Linked DNA regions of Coturnix japonica. The protein of the gene in region 1 binds, or shares a complex with, the protein of each later gene. Links are inferred from orthologs where the notes say so. Each region holds a gene or a part of one and is shown in the gene's direction. Other genes may lie near its edges.

Region 1 (3,741 bases):
TATATAGTTCTAAGGGGGATTTGATGCACTGGAGATGCTGAAGGTGTCGGGCTGGGCTGTGAGGCAGTAGTTGGTCGATGTGATGCCTCGGAGGAAGTGAGTAATACTTAGCGTTGCCTTCCTGCCTGTGTTTTGTCTTTCTCTGGAGTTGCGGATCTGGCAGAGTTGATGGGGTTGGCTTCGGTAAGGTTTGCAAGCTGGGGCTGTCGGGAGCTGCAATTCAGGAGGCTCCCACATCAGGGACGTACATCTGACAACGCCCTAAACGTGGCTCGATGTGCTTTCCATGTCGGCGTTATTAGGAAGCAAAACGCCAAACGAGCGCACGCTCCGAGGGGCCCCGCTGACAGCCCATTTCCCGGCCTCGCCTTTCCGAATAACGGCGGTGCCCTCGGGGAGATCCCCGCTCTGAGGAACCGCTGGGGGAGCGGGCGGGGCTGGGAGAGAGGGGGAGCGCGGTGATGAGGGGACGGCCGCGTGTGGGGAGCCGCTGCCCCCATGAGGTGGGGCGGGGAGCGGCGCCTCCCTGTTGGAGGCTGGGCGCCGTGCTGCGGGCTGGCCGGCAGCCACACAAAGCGCCGCTCTCCCCTCCCTTTGTCTGCGTGGCTTTGTCTCTATCACAGTCTCACAGTCTGGTGCGGGTTGGAAGGGACCTTAGAGATCATCGAGTCCAACCCCCGGGATTCGAGCCCTGTGTAGCAGAGCGGCACTTCGACCACTTGCGCCACAGGGGGATTCGAACCGGGGTCTCCGGCGTTGCAAAGTGCCTCCGGCCGCGGCCCTCCCCTTCGTGCCACCTGCGCACCGTGGGAACGGCCGCTCACCCCCTGGTGTCCCTCCCGCCGCGGAGCTCCGTGGCGCGGCGCTTTGTCACCGCTTTTATTGTCTGTTCTATGCGAGCGGTTCCCGCACAGGTGTGTCGGAGCTGCGGGAGGCGCCGCCTGCCGCGCCCCGCCGTCCTACAACCCGGCGCGTCCCGCCGCCTCAGCCGCCTCCTCCTCCTCCTCCCCTGTCGGCAGCGCGCAAGTCCACGCGTGCGCGAGCCCCGCGCGCTCCCGCCGTGCCGGGAGGGGGCGGCGCCGCGATGGGGGAGGGAGGGGACGGCGGGGCGGGAGCGCGCGCAGCCCGTCGGGCGGGGCGAGGCGATAACCCTTGCGGAGCTGCCTGGGAGACCCCGGGTTTGGGGCTGCGCCAGCGCGCGCGGCGCCTCCTCCTCGCTTCCCCCCCCCGGCTCCCCCCCCCGCCCCCCCGAGCCGAGTGGAAGGGGCTGGGGTTGGTGCCAGCAGCGGCGTGAGCGCTCGAGCGGCCGCCATTTTACGCCAGCTCCAGCACACTGTCCGGACACGCCGAGGGAGCGGAGAAGGGGGGCAGCTCCTCAGCACGCCGAGCCGCCAGCCGCGCCCCGAGCCCCTTCGCACGGCGTTTCGCCCCCGCAGCCGCAGGTCAGCGCCGGGCCGGGGGCTGCACTCGGAGCGGGGCCGGGAGCGGGGCCGGGCCCGGCTGAGGCGGCGGAGGGGCCGAGGGGCGGGGGGCACTCGGCGCTGCCGGGCGGCGCCGCGCTGCGGGCGGAGGAGCGGAGCGGCCGTTTCGGGCGGCGGACGGAGGGCGCGGCGGGTCGGGCCGGGGCGGCGGGTAGGCCCGGCGGGCGGGGGGGGACGGCCCCGTGCGGGACGCGTGGCTCCGCTTCATTGTCCCGCCGGCCCCGCCGCGCCATTCATTACCCGACACGGGCCGCGCCGCCGGAGCCGCCGGGCTCGTTCGCCTCCCGGGGCGGAGCGCGGTGGCGGCTGCCCGGGCCGGGGGTGCCGCGGGCTTGGCGGCGCGGCCCCGCATTGTTTCGGGGGAAGCGCGGCTCGGCGGCGGCGGCGCGGCCGGGAGGCGCGTGGAGCGGCCGGGCCGGTGGTGAAATCGGGCCCGCGGTGTCGCAACCGCGATCCGGGGGGAATCGGGCGAGAGGTGGGGAAGGGCCGGGGCGCGGGCGGGGGGGAGCCGCTCCTCCTGCTCCCGGGAGCGCGGCGGGGAGGGGGAAGTCGGTCACTGGAGGAAGTTGTAGGACATCTGAGCGCGCAGAGCACGTGTTTCCAGCGGGCTCATGGCGGCCGCCGCTGCCGCCGTGGGAGGGTGCGGGCCGGAACGGGCGCTTTGTTTCTACGCCGGCCCGGCCCGGTCCGGACGGCGGCGCGGGCGGGAGGGGAGCGCGACCGCGAGGGGTCGGGGGGCGGGGGGGGCGGGCGGGCGGGCGGTGGTGGTGGTGAAGGAACGCGGCGGTTCGCTGCTTAACGCCCCCGCCGCTGGCTCCGGGCTCCGTCCCGAACTTGTTGGGAGCTTCTCGGGGAGCGCGTTACGGAGACAGCGGGCGAGGTGAGTCAGTGTCTGGCTGCGTTGTGTAAAACCTGCAGTGAGAGCCACCCCGCCCCCGCCAGGCAGCGGCGTTAGGGCTTCCCTTTGTGTCAAGGCTCCTTTTGAGGAATTCCGTGCGGCTCTGGAAGCTGGAAGTATCCGGGAAGTGCTCCGCTGTCTCTTTACGAGAATTGGGTGGGCTGCTGCACGTGCTGTCACTTGAATTGTTCTGCTGGAAGGTGTTTGCAGCTTAACGATTCTGCTTCTCGCGTTTGAACAGATATCTGGAAACATGGCTACTGAACATGTGAATGGGAACGGTACTGAAGAGCCAATGGACACTTCTGCTGCGGTTACCCATTCTGAGCACTTCCAGACGTTGCTTGATGCTGGTTTACCACAGAAAGTTGCTGAAAAACTAGACGAAATTTACGTGGCAGGTAAGCAGTGAAACTTGCCAAACCTTCCTAGGTCCTAGAATATTTCACTGGCTTCTGCTGCTGTCTTTGGGCTATCTGAGCAACTTCATGTGGTTTTTAGAAGTACAAGAACTACAGTCTCAACAAAATACATGGTGTTTTTTTGTGCTTGTTTTCTTGTTTGTTTTTATCATTCAGTGTTTTAGTTTATCATGATGTTTCCCAGAGAGCAGTCTGGGCCAAGCTGCTTGGGGTGGGTGGTGGGAAAGAGAAGTATGAGTATAAGCATAGTATTACCTGGGATAGGCAACAGCTGACACTTAGAAGGAGCAGGTGATATGGGCTTTGTGAGCTTTTAGTGTAGTTGTAGATAATGTCAAGTCACTGAAGCCTTGGTAGACATCATCTGATGTAAATGATGCTTTGTGGCATGGTACTGGAGCTCATAGATTGTCATTGTATTCTGCCTGTCAGGCATGGCAGTAGCATAGTAAAGCTTGATTTTGGTGCTGTAGTTGCTTTGAGTGCTGCAGTTTGCAGTCTCCTCCCAGTCATCACAGTACGTTGCTCATCAAGCCAAGTCAGTTTTTGATAGATCCTTTAGAGTTCAACTTAAGGATACCAAAACTAAACCTGCCCCGCGTGACATGAGAATTCAAATACATGAATGCATTAACTCTTAGTCTAATTCTTATGATTTTAATACTTCTGGATGAAAGTAAGCAAAGTGCACTTAAATTTTAACTTAGGGAACTGAGTGATTTCTTAGTTATAGCAACTTACTTTTAGCCAGCAATTGGTTTAGGGGACACTGAAGTATATTAGGTGTGTTAAATATGATGAAACAGAGATTGCTACCCAAATGTAATTAGTAATTTTTTTTTTTCTTTTCTCTAGGGCTAGTTGCACATAGTGATCTAGATGAAAGAGCAATTGATGCTCTTAGGGAATTTAATGAAGAAGGAGCCCTCTCTGTATTACA
Region 2 (3,741 bases), on another chromosome or scaffold:
GCGGCCGGGTGGGTGGTGCCGGTTGGGGGGTGGTGGTGGTGATGGGGGGGGGGGGGGTCGCTGCTATTTTCAATCCATCTCGAACCTAAAAATAAAAAGCCTCCAGAAAAGGCGAAGAGGGAAAGAGGAGGGAGGGTTTCTAGGGACGGGGGGGATGGGGGGCTGCTTCTCTCTGCCGACGGGACGCGTCGTCTCCCCCCCCCCCCCCCCCCCTGTGTCTCGGGGGGAGCGATCCCGCTGCACCGTGGGGCCCTTTTGTGCCAGGAGGAGCCTTCCCCCTTCCCCGAAGGCTTCCGCAGGGCTGCACATGAAGGGCTTAAAACAATACCGGGGACAATAGCCCTCCCCGGGGGCTCCTCCGCTCACCCCGCCGGGTCGGGCCGTTCCCCTGCAGCCCCGCTCCCCTGGCGCCAGGGGACCTCCCGGCCCCTTTGATGCTGAAGTTGGATTTTTTTTTTCTTCTTCTTCTTTTTTTCTTTCTTTTTTTATTTTCTTTTTTTTTCTTTTTTTTTTTTTACACCCAGAAAAATCCCATTCAGGCACCGGGGGGAAGGGGGGGTGGGGGATGGGAGAGATGTAGGGGGAGGGGCGCGATGGGGGCTGGAGGCTGCACAGATGGGAAAGTGCCTCCGACGGGACGGGACGGGCGGGGCCCGAAGGGTGGAGTGGGGGGGTGATGAGAAGGGGGGGATGGTGGTGGTGGTAGTGAAGAGAACACGGAGTGGGTGCGCTCCCCGATCCGAAGAGGGGTGTGTGTGTGTGTATGTGTGGAGGTAAATAACGTAGTATTTAAATTAAAATAAATAATTAAGTGGAAGCTGCCCCCTCCCCCCCCCCTCCCCTTCCCTCCCACCCCCATCGTCCGGCCCCTCCCCCCCGGGGGCTGGGCCCTCCTGCATCACCACGTGGCTTCCTCCCGCAAACATTTTCACTCATTTTCCAGGTCGGTTTTATTTAGAGGCGGTGCCCGGCTGCCCAAAGGCGTCCGGTGACACTCCGGTGCCGCTCCGCCGCTTTGGGGGCCCCCGCAGCCGGCGCCGCCACCGCCTCCTTCCCCGCAGCCGTCGCCTATTGCAGCCACCCCCCTCTTCTTTAGGACCCCCCACCTCTAACAGCAGCAGCCGCCGCCGCGCCCCTCTACGAGGAAAACTCCACCAAACGACCAAAAAAAAAAAAAAAAAAAAAAAAAACAAAAAAAACCCCACCCCGAAACAAAAAAAAAAGCAAAGGAGGGGGGAGGGAGTGTGCAAAGAAAAGGACCACCGAGCTTCAAACCCGGCTGTGGGGTGGCAGACGGCGGCTGCTGTCCGACGGTGCGGGCGTACGGTGGGAGCCCCCCCGGCAGCCGCGCTCCGAGCCCCGGCGCGCCGCCACCGCCCGCCCGCCGCCCCCCGCCGGCAGCCACCATGAACAAGCTGTATATTGGGAACCTAAATGAGAGCGTGACTCCGGCCGACTTGGAAAAAGTCTTCAACGACCATAAGATTTCTTTCAGCGGGCAGTTTTTGGTTAAGTCCGGTTATGCCTTTGTGGACTGCCCCGACGAGCAATGGGCCATGAAAGCCATCGAAACTTTTTCGGGTAAGCGGTGTCCTTCGGTTCTTTCGATCGGAGAGTTGCGGGATCCGGTCGGGATTCGGGTGGGGAATAGGGGGGGGTTCGGGCCGTTACGCTCCGTCGGGGTTTGTATCAGCGAGCGGGGCAGACCCCGCTTCTACCCCATTAACAGCGAGCACTTGGAGGGGGGAGAGAAGGAGAGGGGTCCCCACTGTTCCCAATGGCTTCGTGGGGGTTACACGGTGCCCGTCCCGGTGGTGTTCGATGCGGGGGTCCCGTCGCGACAGTGGGGTGGGACTTTGGCCATTTTGATTTCAAACTGGGTTTCCTGGGGCATGTGATGCGCAGAGGAGCGCGAAGGTCGCCATGCTGCTCGCAAGACGGAGGGGGGGGAGAGTGGGAAGGGAAGGAAGGGGGGGGGTGGAAAGAAAAGCTCCCCGGGAAACAGTGAATTTTTGAAAACGTTGGAATATTTTCCCCTCGCCTAAAGCTGCTCCCTCCGGGCTCTCCCCATTGCTGCTCCCCTCTTCTTTTCCCTTCCCTCCCCCCCCCAATTAATATATAAACCGGCGGTGTGGAAATCCGCCCCCATTTTCCAAGAGAAATCCATTCGTAGCGTGGAGTTAAACAATTTTTGAGCCCCTTTTTAATGGGGATGAGGAATGATCTGGCCGGAGTTGTTGTGAACGGCTCAAACGCGTGGAATTCGAGGGGGGAAAAAAAAATTGATCTCAATATATTCTGCCTCGTTTTCTTTCGCTCGGAGCAGAGCTGAATGAAGGACGGGATTAAATATTCCTAAGGAACATTGTTCAGACGGCGAACTCATTGCTCCGCATTAGAAGTCAGCCTTATATTTAATATAGCACACTTATGATCACACGCACACACGAAAAAGCCTTTTTTAATGCAGCTTGTAGTGATTGGAATGAAATGGGAAGTTTTACATGATAGAATGTTACCCAAAGCTTTCTGACCACCCCACCCAGATCATACAAAACAGCCACATTTTGTTTTTAGGGAAAGTGGAGCTGCATGGAAAACAGCTAGAGATTGAACACTCAGTACCTAAAAAGCAAAGGTAATACGGTGTTTTAATTACTTTTTCTTTATGTTTTATTTTTTGGAGGGGGGGAGGAGGGGGAAATAATAACGTAAGAGGAAGGAGGCAAAAAAATTATATCCAAATATGTGCATGTGGAAGGAGATATGGTGGTGGTTTGGCTTTGGGTATGGCCCAGCGAGGTGAGGAACGGCTCTGAGGATCAGCGTTCCCTTTCGTATCTTTAGTGTATTTTTAAAGGAAACTTTTCTTTGGGATTAAGTTTTGCTTCAGTTTGTTTGTTAGGAAAAAATAAGACCAACAACCCCAAAAAACAACCCTGGGTCCCGACGATTCGCCTTCCATTCACCCAAGTGATGAATGGCGTTTGGGGTTGGAATTTTCAAACTTGTGGCACTGGAAGAATTTCCCAGTGTTGCTCCATGAGAAGGACCCCAAAACCTTTTGTTATTTCCAAGTTTTTAAACACCCTCTTTGCTTATTTTGTCATTTACGGGTGAAATTTGCCTGGGATGGAGGGCGAGGGTTTAAAAACGAACATCAGTAATTAAATAAAAATGGGGCTGGTTGCGTGTTGGTGTGAGGTTTTCAGCCCGGCTGTGTGGGGTGCTGGTTTAGCTCCTTGTTGCCCCTCAACTTGTTGTTTTTTAGGGCTGGAACCCCATTTCTTCATGCTTTCCCCAGGCGTTGCGGCCCAGCTCGGCCTACCCAGCCCTCCCCATCTTCTTGGCCCTTTGTTGCTGAGGGCGCGCGGGACGCTGGGCCTGGAGGGCCCTGAGGGTTCAGGCAGTGAACTGCTGGGCCCAGGGGGGATTCACTGTTGTGTGTGGGGGTCTTTGGGTTGATCTTGATCCCTTCCCTAGAGCTGGGTGAGCTCTCCTCAGGGCCTGGTGCCCGCGCTGGGCCATGCAGCCGCTCCGCCACGTGATGGGGCGGCCGCCCCGGCGCTCAACATGGTGTAGAAGGAAACTCTTCCTTCCCCAAACTCTTGTTTTTTTTCTGCTGGCTGAGGACCCCTTTGGGGAGCCTGTGTAGACCTGGCCCCACTGGGAGGCTGTGGGGTTTGGCAGCAATCCTTTCCTTGCAGGGGGCCATGCCCCGCGGTGGAGCCGACCCTAAAG
Region 3 (3,741 bases), on another chromosome or scaffold:
TGCCCCTCGGCCGCTGCCGTGTTTGCCGAGCAAACAAGGGGCCTCCGCTCTCCCTGCCGGCCCTGACCCCGCGACGTGCGGGGGGCTCCCCCGGCCCCGCGATCGCAGCCCCCTTCGGGCCGCACCGCCGCCTCCCCTGGCCTTTAAGAAAAGGTCGTAACCTCAAGCCGGGGCTAAACTTAGCCGCTGCCCCTCGGTGCTCCGGGAATGGCAGCCGTACAAGGAGCGTTGGGTTACGGGAGCTGCGTGACCCCCCGCTCGGACCCTCTCCCCCCGGCATCCTCCGTCCCCACCGCTGGAGCCGGGGCCCACCTCACCCCTGCACGCCCCCTCCTCCCGCCGGGCATCCGGCTTCGAGCACCCGCTCCATCGCAGGGGATGGAGGCTATAAACCCAGCACGGCTCCATCCCACGGCCCCTCTTTGGGCCGCACGAGCCCCAGCCGTAACACGTAAGAACCGCTTCTTGCCCACACCCCGGGCCCGGCTGCCAGGCGCAGACGTGCCGGGCTGGGAGAGGGACGGCGGCGGCTCGAGGCGGCGGGAGGATATGAGGATATCCGCTGTCACGGCGCAAGAGATGCTGCAGTTCCTTATTAGCGCGGCCTGAGAGCGCCGGTGTGACAGCGGGTGCGGGACCCCGGCAGCCCGGGGCTGCGTGACCAACACGTGCGAGGGCTGATTATGGCAGCGGGCAGGCTGCGGGCTCGCAGCACGGCGCTCTCTCGGCCGTGCGTGCTGCCATTAATGCAGCCCGCACCCGCCGCACCGCATCGTGCTGCAGCCGCACCCCGCAGCCTCACCCGAGGACACCGACGCGGGGCTTTGTCTGCACCCCCCATCCGAAGGGCACCCCCACTCCGTACAAGCCCCGCAGTGCGGCCCCAACCCCCCGAGCCCACCCTCGACCCAACGGCCGCCCTTTGTTGCGAGGGGGGAGGGGGAGAGAAGCGGGGGGGGGGCTGCCGCTTCACCCGCACCGTGCGTGCACGTAGCCCCGGCCCGGCCCTCGCGCTGCCATTCGGTGCCGGCCCGGCGGGGCGGGGCGCGGGGTGCTGCCGCCGTGTCTATAAAGGGCGGCGGAGCGGCACTGCGCCACCTTCTCACTGCGCGCCGGGGCCGTTGACTAGGAGCAGGTAACGGGCGGGGGGCACGGGGGCGGAGGAACGGCTCCCCCCACCCCTACCCACCCACCCACCCAGCCGGCCGCCCTCCCGTCTGCTTGAGCCCCTCGTAGGGTCGGGGCCGTCGGACCGCGAGGAGTGCGGCGGGGGGAGGGGGCTGTGCAGGACCGCGTGGTGCCCGGGGCACAAAGGCGGGGGCGGGCGGCGTAAGATGGAGGCGGTGGGGGTGGGGGGAGAGGTGCGGGGGGCACAGCTCGGTGGGGATGGAGGGAGGGAGGGATGGCGGGTGGGGGGGCGGCTCCCGGTGCGTGCGGTGGGGGGGTGTTATGGGGCGGGCGGGCTGCGTGCGGTACCGCACGTCTGAGCGTTGGCGTGTCCCCGCAGGTACACTATAAGGGAGAGATGGTGAAAGTCGGAGTCAACGGGTGAGTGAGTGCGGAGCCGGGACGGGAGGCGCCGGGCGGGGCGGGCGGGGATGTACGTGCCCGTGGGGGGGGGGAGGACGACACGAGACAAGGTCGCCTGAAGGGCGGGGGGCCCCGCGGCGCCGCGGAGAGACCCCCCCATCCTCCAACCCCCAACCGGGAGTAACGGCCCCGTGGGGCGGTGCTGAGTCACTTCCCCGCACGGTCGGGGTGAGTCACCCCGGAAGCGCCGGTGCTGCCCGCGTGCCCCGTCGGGGGCTCTGCCCGCACTAATGGGGCTCCCCGGGGCAGTGGGTACCCGAGGAAAGGTCGCCCGGTGGATCGTGTGTCGGCCGTGCCCCGGGAACGTGACCTTCTCCCACCGCACCGAGGAGTAACCGGATCCCCGGGGCCCTCAGTAAATTTAGCGCCTGACCTTTGTGGTGTGGGTGCCCTGCCCGGGGGTCGCTCTTAATCTTTAACCACGGCTCCTCGGCCTTTGGCCGCTGCTGTTGGATTCCATTCAGGCAGCGACTGACAGATGCTCTGGGGGGAAGTAGCAGATAGGCTCAGCCGTGCCTTACCAAGCATGTTCCTCAGTGCTCCTCCTCACCCACCTCTCTGTTTCTCCCCAGATTTGGCCGTATTGGCCGCCTGGTCACCAGGGCTGCTGTCCTTTCTGGCAAAGTCCAAGTGGTTGCTATCAATGATCCCTTCATCGATCTGAACTACATGGTGAGTTGTCTTGCAGTGCCCCCTCTGGGCGATGCGTGCACCTTCAGCGGGGCTCCCCTTGGAAACCTGGCATAGGTTAAGAGAGAAATGAGATGTAGTGATGCAAAGCTGGGCAGAGCAAAATACAGAGCAGCAGTTAGACAAGATGGCTGGTATTGTAGTGGGAGCTTTGCATCTAGGATGCCTGACCCTTCTCTTTTCTCTCCCTGCTAGGTTTACATGTTCAAATATGATTCTACACACGGACACTTCAAGGGCACTGTCAAGGCTGAGAACGGGAAACTTGTGATCAATGGGAACGCCATCACTATCTTCCAGGAGTGAGTAGCTTTCTTCTCTCGCTGCTCCAGAGAATGAAAGTAAGTGCCCTCCAGAGTAACTCCCATGGTTTTGTCCCCTCTCAGGCGTGACCCCAGCAACATCAAGTGGGGAGATGCTGGTGCTGAGTATGTTGTGGAGTCCACTGGTGTCTTCACCACCATGGAGAAGGCTGGGGTATGTAGGCTGCTGTGGCCCATGGGAAAAGGTGCTCTGAGGATTGTATTCCTTCTCAACTGTTGGGCCGTTCTGGGTAATTTAATCTTTCCTTTTTTGTTTTTCAGGCTCATCTGAAGGGTGGTGCTAAGCGTGTTATTATCTCAGCCCCCTCAGCTGATGCTCCCATGTTCGTGATGGGTGTCAACCATGAGAAATATGATAAGTCCCTGAAAATTGTTAGGTAAGGGAGAAGAATGCTCCCTGGCCTGGAATTTTCTTCGGGTCTTGTTGCACGTATATACATGTGTTGTACTTGGCTGATGTGCCTTCTTTCTCCCCCAGCAATGCTTCATGCACCACCAACTGTCTGGCACCATTGGCCAAGGTCATCCATGACAACTTTGGCATTGTGGAGGGTCTTATGGTAGGTCTGGAGCTTGATGCTCAGTAAGATACCCTGCCCCCAGGTCCTCCATGTGTGGGGGAAAAAAGCATTCACACACAGTGCTTCCATTGGGCTTGGGAGGAAGTGCTGGGGGTGCTTTCTCTGGGGAAAGTGACTGCTTTCTTACTTCTGGGCCTTCTTTCCACAGACCACTGTGCACGCCATCACAGCCACACAGAAGACTGTGGACGGCCCCTCTGGGAAGTTGTGGAGGGATGGCAGAGGTGCTGCCCAGAACATCATCCCAGCATCCACTGGGGCTGCTAAGGCTGTGGGGAAGGTCATCCCTGAGCTCAATGGGTGAGCGTCCTCTTTCTGTGTCTGATGGGGGGCAGGAGCCAGTGTGTGGCTGGCTCAAACACTTTTGTGGTAGAACATGCTTACACTGTTCTTTGCTGACATATCTCTTGCAGGAAGCTTACTGGAATGGCTTTCCGTGTGCCAACCCCCAATGTCTCTGTTGTTGACCTGACCTGCCGTCTGGAGAAACCAGTAAGTGCTGTGGACAAGACTGAAGAATCTTCAGGCCTGCCTCTAAAATTACTTCCTTCAACATC

The links.
Region 2: SYNCRIP (region 1) and IGF2BP1 share a complex: the UniProt entries of both Homo sapiens proteins name them as parts of the coding region determinant (CRD)-mediated complex. The link is inferred for Coturnix japonica from reciprocal best matches to the Homo sapiens genes SYNCRIP and IGF2BP1.
Region 3: SYNCRIP (region 1) and GAPDH share a complex: the UniProt entries of both Homo sapiens proteins name them as parts of the GAIT complex. The link is inferred for Coturnix japonica from reciprocal best matches to the Homo sapiens genes SYNCRIP and GAPDH.

What each region holds. Positions count from the first base shown.
Region 1 is NC_029518.1:70,014,599-70,018,339, forward strand, and holds the start of SYNCRIP (heterogeneous nuclear ribonucleoprotein Q), read left to right. Parts: upstream 1-1,237; 5' UTR 1,238-1,442; intron 1,443-2,338; exon of another isoform or gene 2,339-2,361; intron 2,362-2,620; 5' UTR 2,621-2,632; coding exon 2,633-2,780; intron 2,781-3,656; coding exon 3,657-3,741. UniProt on the Homo sapiens protein: Heterogenous nuclear ribonucleoprotein (hnRNP) implicated in mRNA processing mechanisms. Component of the CRD-mediated complex that promotes MYC mRNA stability.
Region 2 is NC_029542.1:3,037,101-3,040,841, reverse strand, and holds the start of IGF2BP1 (insulin-like growth factor 2 mRNA-binding protein 1), read left to right. Parts: upstream 1-919; 5' UTR 920-1,406; coding exon 1,407-1,581; intron 1,582-2,577; coding exon 2,578-2,638; intron 2,639-3,741. UniProt on the Homo sapiens protein: RNA-binding factor that recruits target transcripts to cytoplasmic protein-RNA complexes (mRNPs). This transcript 'caging' into mRNPs allows mRNA transport and transient storage.
Region 3 is NC_029516.1:69,304,301-69,308,041, forward strand, and holds the start of GAPDH (glyceraldehyde-3-phosphate dehydrogenase), read left to right. Parts: upstream 1-1,011; 5' UTR 1,012-1,135; intron 1,136-1,507; 5' UTR 1,508-1,525; coding exon 1,526-1,548; intron 1,549-2,162; coding exon 2,163-2,262; intron 2,263-2,475; coding exon 2,476-2,582; intron 2,583-2,666; coding exon 2,667-2,757; intron 2,758-2,864; coding exon 2,865-2,980; intron 2,981-3,081; coding exon 3,082-3,163; intron 3,164-3,332; coding exon 3,333-3,484; intron 3,485-3,597; coding exon 3,598-3,676; intron 3,677-3,741. UniProt on the Homo sapiens protein: Has both glyceraldehyde-3-phosphate dehydrogenase and nitrosylase activities, thereby playing a role in glycolysis and nuclear functions, respectively.